2 linked regions of the Arabidopsis thaliana genome follow. The protein of the gene in region 2 binds, or shares a complex with, the protein of the main gene of each other region. Each region holds a gene or a part of one and is shown on either strand. Other genes may lie near its edges.

What was found. Proteins that work in one complex are often made in the same cells at the same time.
Region 1: SMC2 (region 2) and AT3G57060 share a complex: the UniProt entries of both Arabidopsis thaliana proteins name them as parts of the condensin complex.

Annotation. Positions count from the first base shown.
Region 1 is NC_003074.8:21,115,109-21,122,986, forward strand, and holds the start of AT3G57060 (binding protein), read right to left. Parts: upstream 6,006-7,878; 5' UTR 5,944-6,005; coding exon 5,808-5,943; intron 5,500-5,807; coding exon 5,177-5,499; intron 5,091-5,176; coding exon 4,930-5,090; intron 4,841-4,929; coding exon 3,661-4,840; intron 3,548-3,660; coding exon 3,356-3,547; intron 3,164-3,355; coding exon 2,510-3,163; intron 2,412-2,509; coding exon 2,235-2,411; intron 2,111-2,234; coding exon 2,043-2,110; intron 1,953-2,042; coding exon 1,730-1,952; intron 1,646-1,729; coding exon 1,546-1,645; intron 1,454-1,545; coding exon 1,338-1,453; intron 1,254-1,337; coding exon 1,196-1,253; intron 1,109-1,195; coding exon 957-1,108; intron 876-956; coding exon 671-875; intron 558-670; coding exon 153-557; intron 68-152; coding exon 1-67. Other genes in the region: AT3G57062 (uncharacterized protein), read left to right, coding at 6,335-6,481. UniProt on the Arabidopsis thaliana protein: Essential protein. Regulatory subunit of the condensin complex, a complex required for conversion of interphase chromatin into mitotic-like condense chromosomes.
Region 2 is NC_003076.8:25,054,177-25,062,025, reverse strand, and holds the start of SMC2 (structural maintenance of chromosomes 2), read right to left. Parts: upstream 6,002-7,849; 5' UTR 5,719-6,001; coding exon 5,401-5,718; intron 5,302-5,400; coding exon 4,621-5,301; intron 4,529-4,620; coding exon 4,385-4,528; intron 4,297-4,384; coding exon 4,006-4,296; intron 3,931-4,005; coding exon 3,745-3,930; intron 3,664-3,744; coding exon 3,499-3,663; intron 3,415-3,498; coding exon 3,355-3,414; intron 3,234-3,354; coding exon 3,171-3,233; intron 2,848-3,170; coding exon 2,756-2,847; intron 2,666-2,755; coding exon 2,569-2,665; intron 2,365-2,568; coding exon 2,248-2,364; intron 2,133-2,247; coding exon 1,914-2,132; intron 1,761-1,913; coding exon 1,620-1,760; intron 1,541-1,619; coding exon 1,373-1,540; intron 986-1,372; coding exon 801-985; intron 672-800; coding exon 578-671; intron 490-577; coding exon 401-489; intron 279-400; coding exon 53-278; intron 1-52. Other genes in the region: AT5G62400 (uncharacterized protein), read left to right, coding at 6,420-6,896, 7,245-7,412. UniProt on the Arabidopsis thaliana protein: Central component of the condensin complex, a complex required for conversion of interphase chromatin into mitotic-like condense chromosomes.

The DNA.
Region 1 (7,878 bases), on a different chromosome or scaffold from region 2:
CTGATGCTGCTCGATGACTCTGTACTCTTGCTTTCTGATTCGCCTTCTTCCCCTGAAAACCTCACAACTTTACTTAACGGTATATAACAATTTCTAAAATGTAGCTTAAGTTGTGTGAGATTTTTGAAATACATATTGAAGTTTTCACATACCGCCACTAGTCTTTTGGTTTAAGGAACGAGGATTGGTCGTACCACATTGTGCAGAATCTGGCTCTTCCTCCGAGTCAGATGGCTCTTCCTCTGAGTCAGATTGCTCTTCCTCGGACTCAGTTTCAATCAAATTATCGCCACTAGTCTTTCGGTTTAAGGAACGAGGATTGGTCGTACCACATTGTGCAGAATCTGGCTCCGAGTCAGATTGCTCTTCCTCGGGCTCAGTTTCAATCAAATTATCGCCACTAGTCTTTTGGTTTAAATAACGAGGAATGGCCGTACCACATTGTGCAGAATCTGGCTCTTCCTCCGAGTCAGATGGCTCTTCCTCTGACTCAGTTTCAACTAAATTATCGCCTGATTCTTCCATTGATGGATCCACAATTTCACTATCTGAAACACCTGAGAATACAAAAAACAGTCCATTTTGAAAAGCTTGCCGTTAACTGGCATTTGACTATCGTAAGTCTGGTACAGTGAACTTTGCTTTAGCCAAGAGTCAAAAAATTACTAACCTTCACCTTCATCATATTCTTCTACAGGTTCTTCTTTCACTTTGCTGAGGACAGCAAGGGATTCCATGGTCTTGGTTTTCTCTCTATGAACCTCGGCATTTCTTGCGGTTTCTTCTTGTTCTTTCTTCTCCATGTGGAACTTGTTGATCTTCTCTTCAAACTCTTCGATACACGCTTTCAGTTCTGGCTTCGCAAACTTCTTTCCCTGTTCAGATTCACAACCAGATGTCAAACTAACATATAGCATTAAAAATGACTAGGGTGACGAAAACCAGAGAAACCAGACCTTATTGATTATGCTTCTAAAGTTCTCGGTCACCAAATCCTCTGCTAAAGCGTGCTCGTAAGACTTGAATGACTCAATAAGCTTTTTGATTCCCTTTTCTGTGAATGTCAGCAGCGAAAGAGAATACGAAATGTATTCCCACTGTTTTCCATCTGCAAGTTTAGGTGTAGATGTCAAAGGGATATACTTCTTATTAAACCCAAAACAGGTGTAAGGATATATCATCAATACAAGCATACCTGTGACTCCGCTAAACCTATTGCAAAGCTTCTCAACTAGAGCCTCCATCTGTTTGTCCTGGAGATTGATGAGGATGCAGATGAGTGATTAGATAAGAATAAATACAGGTCATACTAACTTCAATATTGAAAAGCTGTATACCTTTTTGATGGAGCCGATCAAGAATTGCATGACATTACAGAATGACTCCCTCTCTAAATTCCGGTTGGATAACTGCCCAAGTATATCAGGAAGTAGATTGTATATGGGATTCGATCCTGGATTTGTTTGGCAGAAAATAAACTTAAGTGTTAAATTTGATTCAAAGGTGGAAGTTGCTATGTCATGTAAAGCAGCTATTGCAACTGACCTTTCTTAGACAGTTCATGGAAAAATAGTTTTGCGAGACTAGAGATCCTCTCCACATCATCTTCTATACATATAGCCATTTCATATATATAACCTTTCACCTGAAATCAGGATTCACAAAATGAAACCTCCAACTATAATTGCAGATATTTAAAGAGAGCAAGGAGAGAGGTAAGGAGTCCAACCTTCATCATATCATTCAATATAAGATGTGAGAGGACCAGGACAGCATTTTTCCTGACAGAAACTGAAGCATCCCGTAACCTGGCATACATATTTTCTGTCCAAGGTTCTAAAAGATTTGGAAAACGAACAGCCAAGTCTCCAAGGGAAAGGGTGCAATTCGATCGTACAACTTCAGACGGTGCATTTTCAACAACTGTGAAGAGAAGCTGAAGATTGGATTCGCTGGCATACATTGAGTTTAATGCATCAATTTAACTATAAATTCAGTTTTGTAAAGGATAAATAGACTATATGATAATGATTTAATCTCACCAGAAACTTGCATCAATAATCATAAACCTGCATAATGCAAGCATTGCGGAAGCTTGTAGTTCAGGATGCTGTACGAATGAAAAGACAAGTTTCATTTTATCATGTATATCCAAAATAAATGTGAGAGCAAAAGAAGGCTTTTAACTTCATCACACGCCATGAAACAGAATGAATGAATAGAAAACTAACTACCTTTTGCAGCAGAGAAAAATTTCTGCAAAGCTTAGAGAGAAAAGTTGCACACTCCCCAATCAGATTCTTCTCAACAGAACCCCCAGAAACAATTTCCCTCTCTGCTCTTTCAGCGAGTGTATCAAGCAGTGCATCATCAGAGGCAGCAAGTCCTAGCTCAGCATTTATGCCATTGTTCTACAAAACAAAGAAAACTTTGCATTATTCAGCAAAAATAACCCTTTAGGGTTGTAAAATTTGTGCCACCAGCTGCGCTCTACGAAATTGGTCTGTACCTCTTGGGTGGCCTCAAGGTTTTCTTCTGTGTTCTGACTTTCAGCAGCCGGTTTGTCCTTTTTAGTCTTCTGTCTCCGGATCTTCTGGATACAGGATTCTATATACACCAACTGGTTCATGGCAATGTGACTGACAGCGAACAAAAATCTACTGAGTTTAGCCACTTGAACTGGAGTCAAAATATCAACTTTATTATTTTCGGTATCAGTCTGTGCTTCCTCTTGTTCAACTACGTCAAACACAGTGCTCAGGGACTTTTTAATAATAGTAGAAGCCAATGTTTCTGGAGTTGGGTGGATCATGTATATGGCACTTATGGCTTTATCAGCAGTTGCATAATATATATTTTCTGGAAGCCAGTTCCCAGTGATCAAGCTTTCAAGAATACCAAACAATCGGCTGCCACTGCTGAGCAATAACTTTTTCCTATCTTCCTCGGAGAACCGCTGAATAACAGTACATGCAGTTCTGGCAAGTAGAGGTTCCACTTTTGCCCAACGGCCAAACCCAATATCAATAATATCCTGTATGTGTGATCCAAGAATCCTAGGGGACGACTTTGCAGCCATGCAAAGGATAGATAGAGCCCCACGACTTTGCTCAGCAGTTGTCCCATTGATGTTAAAGCAAAAGAAGTCCCATAGAGCTGATGTCTACAAACAGAAAAATGATAGAAGCACTTATTAGCCTCTAGCAGGTGAAAATCCTTTTCGCTCGAGAAATTTAATCAATAATCAAACGCTCATTATTTTTAGTTGTTCTTGACTGTGCATAAGCAGACTACACGTATCAAGTGACCATAATTCATAGCATACTCATACGCTGGAGTCACAGAAGGAACCTACCGTGCTGCTAGATATTTCACCTTTTGACACTAAAGCATTAACAATAAACTCTAGTGCTGCCTGATCTCCTATATTCGAATCTATGGCAAGGTTCAACAGCTGTTTCGCCGTGTCAACTGGATTTTTCCTTATGTAGATTGAGATGAAGGCATTCTCTACTGCCTCATAGATAGACTTATCCTGAGAAAAGGCCTGCAAAGACAACAATAAACAAGGTTTTTAGCACAATGTATTAAGAGGATGCTAACTGAAAAATGTCAGAAGAATGTATTCTTATGAGTTTGATACATGATAAGCGACCATACCAGAGGCAGAATTTTACGGAGACAAGCTTCTGCACCGTCAATTTGGAACTGCTTACACCTCATCAGCAAAAGAATAGCATTCTCAACATCAGTGGCAGAAGATGAAGCCATTAATTGAACGAGGATTGGCATACTGGCTGACATGCACTTCGAGAACCTCAATCCAGCCTCTAGGGAAGCAATCAAAGCCTTGGTTTGCTCAACGTTACCAATATCTGGAACAGAAACATCCTTCTCACTGATTTCTTCTCCATTCTCTGGCTGACAGCTATCAGATAGACTATCTTGATGAATCTTAGTTGTAGTTTCAAGATGCAAGTCATCGATTTCACCATCTCCATTACAGGATTCACCATCTGAAGTTGACTCTTTTGATGCATGCTCAGTAGGTTCAAGTTCGTTCAGTTTTCTTTTATACTGCTCCAGGGTTGCTTCAAATGAAGCTATCCGCAGCTGTGGACCAAAGGGGTTATGTTGCAACATCATGATCAGTAAATTCAATGCGGATTTTCTAACAATTGCACTCTTATCTTCCAGTCTTCCAGCAGATAGTGATGCAACTTCATTCCATAGGCCAATTGAAACAGAATGCTCTTCACAGAGTTCAGCCCACACTTGAAGAACACGGCTCCTTGTATAGGCTGAAACATCTCTACAGCGTTCGAGCAAAATTTCCAACATAGCTTGCTTAGTTCGCAGACGAAGGGACTTGGAACTCATATCTCCCTCGACATCATTAAATGCTTTTGCAACTAATTTCCCAAGAACACCAACTAGTGCGTTTCTTATCTTGTATGATTCACCACCAAAATGAGGGACCAGAACTCCAACATTTGTCGACATTAATTTTGGCAAACGATCAGCAAGCTCGACCAGGAAACGTCCCACATTATCAGCCCCAGCAGTATCTTTAACGTAGGCCTTTGGGTCAGTCCTCCCAATATCTCTAATGATTGTCACTGCCAACGTACCATCTGAATACTTGCTTTCAGCTCTAGCAACTGCATCAGCAATGTGTACAACAGCAAAATCATACTTGTGTATCAAGTGCATGATTGAGGCACATGACTGCACAATGTAGTGGTATTTTGTAGCAGATGCTCCGATGATTCGGCACAGTGCATCTTTTGTCTCGGCATCTTTTAAGATTGTGGCATTTTCAAAAAGAGTGAACGAGTTTCTACAAGGAAATGATATGAAAATGTTGTGAGAATGTATCTATAGCATGGACTATGAAAGAAACAAGATTCATTAGGTCACGGAAATTACTTGACAATGAAAGACAGGTAGTTTTCGTCTAGGTCTGATGATCCAAAGAGCAAGGATAGGTTGATTTCAAGAGAATTTGCGATCAAATTGAGCATCCTACCCCTCTGAGGTTCCCAGTTCCATGACTGGATGATTTGCTTTTTCCTCCCTCGTGCTGCAACCTGTTCATCCACAACATCACTACCGTAAATTCGACAACAAGAGATGAATTTTATTCTGTATTATCAGCTGGAAAAAGAGAGAACACCTTTGTAGTCTCGACTGAGCTGATGTGTGATTCCTCATTCATAACAACAGTGAGGAGAAAGAAAGTGTATATCTTCAAGGCATTGCGATGTGATGTGATCCTATCAATGATTGGAACATCATCCTCCTGATCTTGGACAGACCGGGATATCGAATCGACATTGGGAAGAAGAACGCTTAGATTGGACCGAAGGCTTTCTACAAGATTACACTTGCAAGATGGAGGAAGACTAAAGAAGCTCCTGACCAAAGAGTAGACACGATCAAATACATCTTGATCCTCGACACAAAAGAGTTCTCTATCAGAAAGGTCAAAGGATACACCTGTTCCACGAGACGAAAGTAAACAAAATGCCTCACATATCAATCACAAGAGTCATAGAAGAAATTTGACTCCAGAAACGCACTAAATGAAATTTCTCTCGACTTAAATTTAATCAATTTCATATTGTTCAGCTTCGCTTGTAGACACGAATTCCCACTAAACCTACCTGACGACTCAGGTGACTAAGGACACTATCAACATACATAATGCAATTTTCCTCCCAAATTGGGATTGCAAAGCAAATCTAAACCCTCTCGCAATTGCATCTCAGATACGCTCATACAGTGGAGAGACAAAGACAATTTACCTTTGACGAATTCTTCCAGATCGGAAGGGCGAAGAGAGGTTACATCGACGGGATTCTGAGCGAACAAACGGTGATTATCCTCCGGATCTTCTTCTAGGGCTCGTAGAATTTGAGGGAATACAAAGGGAGGAGCCATTTTTTCTAGAGAGAGAGAGAGACGTTGCTCAGAGGAGAGAGAGAGAAAGAAGAATCTACCTTTTGGGGAATTTCAATTTCAAAATGAAATCGAAAAAGGCAACGGAGCGGGAATCCATGGATCATCCTATCGGGTCGGGTTCCGGATACAAAACCGGGTCGGATCCTAATTATTTTATCTTCATGTGGGCCCTCGAATTTAATTATGAGTCTCCGTCGGCTGGTGAATAAATACGACGAAGACGTGGCCGAATCTAAATGGTTGGAAGATCCTTGAACCTACCGAATCATCTTTGATTTTTTTTTCCCCAAGCTTTTGGCCACTCTAATGGCTTCGCCGGCCAATCATTTGATCTGACGAAAGAGAGAGAAAGAAGCAGAAAAGCTTTGAGATGGCGATGCCGCTGGGCATGGCGATGTATCTGATGAGAATGGTTTGGTTTTCTCTGAGTGGTTGGGTTTTCACTTGCGTGGCTATCGCTGATGAGATCGCTGGTTCTCTGAGAAACGGAGATATTGGTCCTTTCCACGTCGGATGATTGAATTCGAGATCCTTAGCTCTCCTTCTGTGCGTATATGTTCTTCTCTTCCCCAAATTTTACGTTTTTTTTTGTTTTGCTCTGTTGTTTTAGATTAGAGTCGCTTCAAATTTCCCTACAAACTCTGAAATTGATAATAGTTTGAGTTTATAGAGGATAAAGATAGATCATTTTGGTCGAAAAGGGAACAATTTTTGGTGGAAGTGATTGATATATGTCTCAGTCACTCAGTGTGTGTATGTGTAACTAAAGTTCGGCTTCGTATATGAAACTATACATATCTTATGGATTCGCATGGATGTTGTTATGTTAATGATGCTTGTTAATGGCCCATGAACAAAAATCGAGATTTCTCAACTCCAATTTGGTTGTATTTGTTCTGATCAGCAACTCTGGGATGCATATAATGCTCGTTTCCTTTTGCTCAGCTGCTTGAGTTTATCTCTCATAGTAGCTGGTTTTTGTGTCGATACAAGTATCCTCAGGATCATTCACATGCTCAGATAATTTATCTCCTCTCTACATAAGTACATCAGCATTGATGATATGATCCATATGCTTAAGTGATTGTCTGGAAAACAGTTCATAGGTGATAATACCTTCTTAGCTTCAGTACCAAAACATTCCTGGAAGCATGTTTTATAATCCTGAAGATTACCTTTTGTTTTAGTTTTTCTCCTTAGCTTACTAGTCATTGTTTTGCATTCAGGCCTTTCTGAATTCAGGAAGGGCTTTTACAGCAGTAAATGCGCAGAGTACACAAGTAAGGTTCTATCATATCTTCTGTTGGTACGCTGGCAAGGTTCTTAACTATGAAACATTTTGACAGACAGAGAGAGGTAGAGAGAGAGCAGAGCAGCAGTATATGTGTATAGTATATAGTTTGTAGAATTCCAGAACATATGTGACCTCATACTTGTGAAAAAATGTTGCTGAAACAATTGAGTTTCTATCAATTTCAAGAAATCTTTTTTAGCCTCTTCTGCTTGGAAGATCACACAAGAGAAAATGATTTTTCCCTTTGAATTTACTTTGTATATATTTAGCTCATTGGCGTCAAAGAAATCTATTACATTCAAATATTCAATGAAGAACCAAACATTTTTATCTGTCAAGATCCACCTCTAAAACTATTGAGCTTTCCTCTTATATTAGCTTTTTGTCTTATGCATATCTTCCTTATATCATATTTAGTCTTTGTAGTGTTAGGTTCTGAATTTCGAATCTTTCCTCTTCCCTTATTGAAAAGAGTAAAAGACAAAGAACAAAGTACCAAAAATAATAAAGAATCTTCAAGGAGTTTTTGCCTTGTGCAATTCAACTTCTTCCCATGTTGTTTATGTGTAGTCCAATTAGTGTTATTTTTAATTAAGATGTGGTCCAATTAGCTGTTCTTT
Region 2 (7,849 bases):
TGAAATATCAATTGGAAACTGAGAAATCTGAAATTGAAAAGCAGAGATGTACCTCATCTAATATATAAAGAGGAGCCGGTTTGAAGAGAAGCAATGCCAATATTAGTGATAGCGCAAGAAGAGATCTTTGCCCTCCACTGAGTTCTGATAAAGACTGCTTCCAGACTTTTCCAAAGGCAACACGCACCTCAAGACCATCAAGGAAGTTACCGTCTTCAGGAGGTTCTAGTTTTGCCATGGTGCCAGGTAGTAGAGTTGAAAAGATTGATCCGAAATCCCTAATAAAAAAGAAGGATTTAACAAAGGCTAATATCATATTATCTTTTCAGACATTGAGGAATGAGATCATGAGCCTAAGAGCAAAGACAAACTCTTTGTTGGAGATTAGAAAGACACTCACTGGTTAACTTTAACCCAAGTAACTTTCAGGGTTTCTTTTTTCTTCTCATCAAGCTCCTCGATCACTTTCGTGATTTTTGATTTGTCATTCTAGGAAAAAAACCGAAAAAATTGTGTTATGATGGCACACGAAGCTATTGAAATACATTGCAAAGGCCCTCTGTCCTCTGTAACTAACCTCGATAGTATTTTTTTTCGATATCAGAGCATTGTATTCATCTTCTGCTTTCTCAAACATAGCCATAACCTTCTTGTTCACTCTTTTTTCCAAGCTTCATGAGGGAAATAAATAACCAGGAAAAGAAGAAGAATGCATGTCATATTGATATTTCACTTCAATGATGTGACGACAATATAATATAGGTTTCATAAAGATAAAACGTTAATTCTCATACACATACCCTGATTGATCTGATTGGAGCTTTTCAAGTTTTTCTCTGGCCACATACGGATCACAAGATTCAAAATCATAATCTGTCCCTCCTTTCCCAAAAAGTTGCTTTTCAGATGCTATCCATGTATGCTTCTCAACAAGTTTGTCTACTTTCACGGAACAGTCCTTGTGATCCGTTTCCATCCTTACGACCTATAAATAAATTGGAAGAGACAGTTGTCACGAAAAGTATATTCCTTGACATGCAGAAATTTCAGAAACTACTGAACTTTTCCAATTTTATATCAAAATCACGTTACAAGAAAGTCTTAATTTTCTATGCAATTACTAATTCACTCACCATCCCCAACAGCTGTATGTTACCCATTGAGACGTTTGAACTTTAACGCAATTACTGAACTTTCAAAATTTTAAAGAAATCCAAGGCAGAAACTCTTAATAGGCAAGATTAGTGAATACGAAAGATTTTTATACGAAGTGCAAGAACAGCATAAATCAGATTGGTAGTGAGGAAGAAACAAGCATGGCTTGTAGCTTTGCAAAACCTAGAAACAGGAATAGAACAGAAACAGAAAGTACCTCATTTTCCAATTTCTTTCTCTCAAGCTTCATGTCACTAAGCTTCTGCAGACACTTTTCCTGGTCAGTGACAAAACCACTTATCTGTGTATCACATTCCTTCATCTTTGCATGTATCAACTTGAGCTCGGCAAGAGACTCATCATGAATCTTCTGTAAGGCATCAACCTGCAGGGGAATCATATATTAACATGATATATTTCTTTATTTTCAACAAACTTCACCAAGAGTAGCAAAACTACAGCACCTTGGCTCGCTGCTCGTCTACTTCCGAAGTCAGAGTGCTGATTTGGGTTTCCAATGAAGTTAAGTGGCTCTCCAAGGACGATTGTTCTTGCTTCATTGCTTCTTCCTCCATCACAAGCTTCTCTTTTTCATTTTCATGACTCTATGCGCATGACGAACCAGAGACAACGTTACAGCAAATTCAAAAGAAGGCAATGCTTCCATGATAAAACTGGATAACCCAGGATAAGGAAAAGAAAAATGGATTCAAGAAGTTCAATGGCATGGAAGTAACTGACCAAAAAATATAAAATACCTTTAAATCTTTGGAAGCTGCCTGCATTTGAGCTTTGATGGTTTTAATATTTTTTTCCAAGTCCTTAAGTCTTCCTTCTCTGTTTTTGTCATGGTCTTTGATGGAATTCTCTAGTTTGGAAACAGCATCAAAACAATTTTTATAAGCAAGTTCCTTCTCTTTGATTTGGGATTTCGCTTCTTCAAGCTCTTCTTCAAGTTTTTTTACAGCTTCGCCAAGCTGTGTATACAACAGGTGATGGAAAGTATAAATGTATGTGATTCAAGTACCACAAAAAAACCAACGACGCAGATAATTTAGCTTGAAAGATATAGATAGAAGATGGAGATATAACCTTGTGATGCTCATTTTGTTCAGCCCTCTTCAAAAATAAGGACAAGTCATACGTCTTCAGCTCCAACTGTGCATAAACATCTGTGAATTTCATTTGAAGAGGCTGAAGCTCTTTGATCTGTCATGTCAAGATAAATCAGCAGTTTACGTTTAAAATACTGAAAGTACTTTATAACTGTGTGACATGAGGAGTCTAGAGAGAGCAATCAGAGACCATTACTAAGCTACTGCCTTATCATTTTCTTAGTAATTTCAAAATATGGCTAGCACCTGTTCAATTCCAAGTTGTATTTAGACTTATCACGGAAGAATAGGGGTTTACCTGTGATTCAACGTCAGCCAACCTTTTTTGGTGTCCTTGTAATTCTGATTCAGCTTCTGCCAGGTCATGAAGTTTCCTAAGGCGATCACCTCCACCCCTAAGGCAAAGGAAAAAAAAAAGACCAAAATACTTTTATAAGGAGATGACTCTCACTAGAGATATAAGCGTCCAAGAAAGAAAGACATACTTGCGACTCCCACCAGTAAGAAGACCACTTGGCTGGAAAATGTCACCTTCAAGTGTGACACTTGGAGTCCGAATATCCCGATTAAAAGCAACCTGCAGAAGAAGCAATGAGGGGCACATCAAAGACTGAACTCTAGAGGCAAAAGCAATAAATCAAAACTATCAAATAGTAGCTAAGACAGTGGGAATAAACTCAAGGTATATGTTGCACTTATAAGTTATAACCCCAACAAAAGTGATAAACTTTAGAATAGATTATCCGTCAAGAGTTACTAAAAACAAGCTTAGGCAATTAAAAAAATGTACACACCACATATTCCACGTAAAGATTTATATATAAGCTGACATCATCTCACAAGAAAGAAAAACTGAAGGCCCTGCCCACATATAATACTAAATGCTTAGGAAATACTTACTTCCTTTGCTACATCAGTAGTTTTGCAAACAAAAGTGGAGCCAAAAACATATTCCATGGCATTCTGCAAAATACCATGATTCACACAAATATGAGCTTGAACTTGAAATTTATTATGTATTCTTGAAAACTTGAAAAATAGAGGATTATATATCAGATTCATGTTACTCTGTGCAGGCGTGTACCTTTAATTCATCACTATAACCGACTAAGGAAAGTGCCAGTTCTGCATTATCCTTTCCAACCTGAAAATATATAATAAAAAATTAGCAATGAAAATGAAAACAAAGAGATTAAATCTAAATGGACCAAACAAAAGATCCACATACCAATCTAGCAGTCGCTTGCTGCACTCTAGGCTGAACAACGTAAGATTGGATTTTGTTCAGAGGTATAATTGTAACTCTTCTCCTAAGAGCACCGTTTTGAAGGAGCTGTTTTCCAGTATCTTCTGAGTCTACAACAACATCATACAACTTGCCACCAGCAGTAACCTGGAAACAAGAAGCAAAGTGACTTCAGGCAATTGAAATCCCAACAGTGTTTATTGTGAAATGATAAGATATCCAGTCTACCTCCAACGCTGTCATTGAGGACCTATCTTTTACTTTTATTAGTTTTGCGACCACACCTTTCACCTTAGATCGGTCAAAGTTCCTCACAGGATCGCTGTATGTAAACTGAAAATTTGCTAATTGAGCTGATAAGCCACGCACTTTATCTTCCAGCCTCTGCACAACTTCAAGTTCGGCTCCACGGTCCTAAATATATATTTCAGTCAGAGAAGTATACTTTCTGTAGAAAAAGACAAAATCAACTAAAGTGACCATGCTAACCTTCTCCAAAGCTTCCATTTGACCCTCGTTATAAGGAATAGATTCAAGTGCCTTTTTTACATGTTCCACATCATTTTTCCTAGCTCCAAGTTCATTCTCCACTTCAATGGCTTCTTCAAGTTTTGACATTAACTGAGACTTTCTCTCCTTTAGCTCCTTTTCACAGTGTTCTATTTTGGTTTTTAGCTGTTTCAACTCTGTTCCAGCTGTTCCAACAGCAATCTTTGCATCCCGTAGTTGATCTTCTAAGCATTTCTCTTCATCTCCACTACTCTTACCAGCTAGTACGCCCTAATAATCAAAGGACATAAAGCCAATTAACATAAAACGAATGGATATTATTTGGCATGGAATAGAGATACTTTTTTAGTGGTACTACCTGGTGTTCCTTTTCACACTCTTCCAATGTGGTGGAGAGTTCCTGGAATCTTTGTTTTAGGTCTGCCGCTCCTTCCTCAGACTTCTTCACAGCAGCGGCTCTCTCCTTTACGGATTTCTTTAAATCTTCTATACTGTGAACAATCTGTCAACACCAAGTAGGAAGTTATTTACGCCAGAAATAGCTGAGAATCTATAACATTCTGGCAACAGAAATAATTTTCTTCAGTCTCTAACCTTTTCAACATTCTCTTTTTCTCCCAGAAGGGTGTCCTCCTTGTTATTAAGTTTAGATGACTCACGTGTCATTTCTTGAGCCAGTGAATCCACTTTTTCTGACAGAGTTTTTACTTCTCCCCCCATACTGGCTTCCTTTGCCTGAGTCAGAGCTTTTATCTGTTTCTCAAATTCCTGTATTTCTTCCTGTGTCTTTTCTGTTTCCGCGTCAATCTTCCCGAGCTTCGCCTTCATTTCTCCAACTCCAAGAACAGCATTGTCTCTAATCTTCTCCGCTTGAACATATTCAAAGGCAATACAGAATCTCCTTAGTCGATCTAGCTCCGCGTTACCATTAGCCCACTGCATGTACTGTGATTTTTCTTTCCTCAACTTCTCGAGAGCCGGCAATATTTCATGATCAAGAAGCTTATTAATCTCATCAACCTTGGTCTGCTTTTTTTCAAGCGTTTTCAATGCAGCCTCTTTCTTGTTTTCATACATCCTTGTTCCAGCAGCTTCTTCAAGCATGGACAATATCTCCGGAGGCTTCATATTCAAAACTTTGGTGATACGCCCTTGCATGATGAGAAAGTGTGGATTGTTGACATTAAGCTGCACCGAGTGAAATAGATTCTGAACTTGACTTGGTTGTGCTAGCTTCCCATTTATCAAATACTTGTTCCTTCCACCAACTACAATCTTTTTAACACCAAAAGATACACAATTCCAAGTTAAAGTCTCAAATTTTGTCAAGCACATGAATTGATGAGTACAACAAAAGAGAAACAAAGAACATACTTGTCTAGTCACAGTAATCTCTGGATGTTCTTCGTAGCCGAGAGGGCTTCTGTGTCTCTCGGAATTGTCAAAGGTAACCGAGACAGTCGCCTTAGTAATCCCAGCTTGGCCTTGCTTATAGACGAGTTCCTGAAGATTAGCAGCTCGAACTTGCTGAAGATTGGTGATACCCAGAACGAAACAGATGGAATCGAGGATGTTGGATTTTCCCGAACCATTCAGACCCGTTATCGCGTTGAAATGTGGATCGAAACCAGAAACCACCGTCCTCGTCGCGTATGATTTAAAACCCTCCAAGCATATCTCCTTTATATGCATCTTCCTTCTTCTTCTTCCCCCAAATTTCCACTCACACTCGCAGCATATGCGACAAAACCCTAGAAAAAAGCGAGAAGAGCTCAATCGAAACCCCAGAAATTCGAATTCAAAATTGGAATCTAAGGTCGAAGGCACATGAAATTGAAACGTTGCAAGAGAAGAAGAAGGCGAATCTGAAGTCAATTTTGGTTTTTTAGTTGAAGATAATTAGGAGTCGATTTGGGATTTTGAAAACAAGGGCATTTCGATTTGGGAACACAAGGAGCGGGAAAGTGAACTTTGGGAACAGTTCTGAAACCTTCCACACCATTCAGAAGGTTTGATGGTATCAAATACATTCTGTACAATTTTATACATGTATACTTCATATGTTAACAACGATATCCCACTCTGCTTCACACCCACAAATTAATGGTTCATTCCTTGTTTGAATATGACTAATGAATGGTGCTATGTTTGTTAATGCACATATATCATGTTCGACATGCATGGCGCAGATCCACACAACGGATATCGATATCGTCGAGGGAGCAAAACTATAGGATCTAATTTCTATAGGCCACGTAACCTTGGCCTTGGACAGTTATATTTATGATACGTGTAGCTTCACATTAACCGTCGCCATCCGATCGACTACGAGAAGTTATTTTTAAGAGTTTAAAACCTTTCGAAAATGGGAGAAATAATTGTTTAAGAAAAGGATGAAGACGACGAAGGCGAAAGCAAACACAATCTTGGGGAAGAAACTCGAAGAACTTGAGTATTACCTACAAGAATTCGGTTCTGGCAATGGTGATCTTAACGCATACCGGGAATTCGGAACCCGGTTTGTTTTCACGCAAACCCTTTTATGTGCGGAGATATCGTCGGTTAAGGACGATGAAGACGAAGAAGAGATGTTGAAACTTCGTTTCATGGCTAAGAGGTTAACCGAACTTGAAGAGGCTTTCAAGGAAAAGACCGGTCCAATCAACCAACTGGACTTGCAGAGTTTGGAAAGTGGTGGTGGTGTAGATGAGACCACTTTGGTTCGCTCGTTGGTTGAATCGTTACATGCAGAATATCAAGATGCGAATTCATTAGAAGAGAAGTTGGCGATGAGAAGAACCGAGAAGATGAAGAAGAAGCGGTTTAGGGGTTTGGTTAGTTTTGGTATAGTTGGTTTTGTTACGAGTATGGTAAGTTTCTATGGTTATCTTTGTAATCAAATGAACGAGGAAACCATTTTTCTCACTCCTACTTAACTTTGGTGACAAATTTTCGTTGTTTTCATTGAACCTACTTTGTTTTGATTATGATGGGATCATGTGAATGTTAAATTACAATGATTATGATGTAATTTTCAATAGGTTTTGGCTTTCTATTAATGTTTTACAATGATTCTGATGTAATTTTCAATAGATCTTTGCTTTCTATTTATGTTTTTTTTGTTTGTTTCGATTCTCTTGGCATTTTTTGTCTTCGTGATAAAACACATTCAAAATAACGTAAGATTTGTTTGGTGTGGCTCACGTGGGAGTAACCAGGCCCCACGTGCCATCTTTTACCCGGTTGTAATCCCACCGAAAGATTCTCTTGTCGACGTAATACCTCACACGCTTCAAGGTCAAATTCGTCATTTCCCCACTAAACACACGGTTATCTTCAATATCCGCCTCATCTGTTCATCGAACCGGGCTGGTTATCATAGATAAAACCAATTTATACGTCGAATAAAGAAATTTTCAAACCAACTTATCTCGCCAGTAATGAAAATACTATTCACTAGTAATATTTAATTGCTAATACAATAAGCTTTAGTAAACTTTTATTAGTTTATATTTGAAATGGCATGGAAATGGCCAAACCGGATAATCCCCATCGTAAATGTCAAACTTACCCTCAAGGCCCACCGTTTTTGACCATTCTTGCTCTTTTGTTCAATCTCAACATCGTTAAACTCAAGAATTTGTCGTCTTCTCCATCTTCTGTCTTAAATCTGATATCAAATTTTTGGATCAAATTCTAAATAAAGCTCATTTATTCGTAAAGCCATTATCACTACCAATCCAAAAGAGCTTTTATTAATACACCTTACTCGTGACCGGATTCGCAGAGTTCACGAGCTTCCGAGTCAAAAACACTCTAAAAC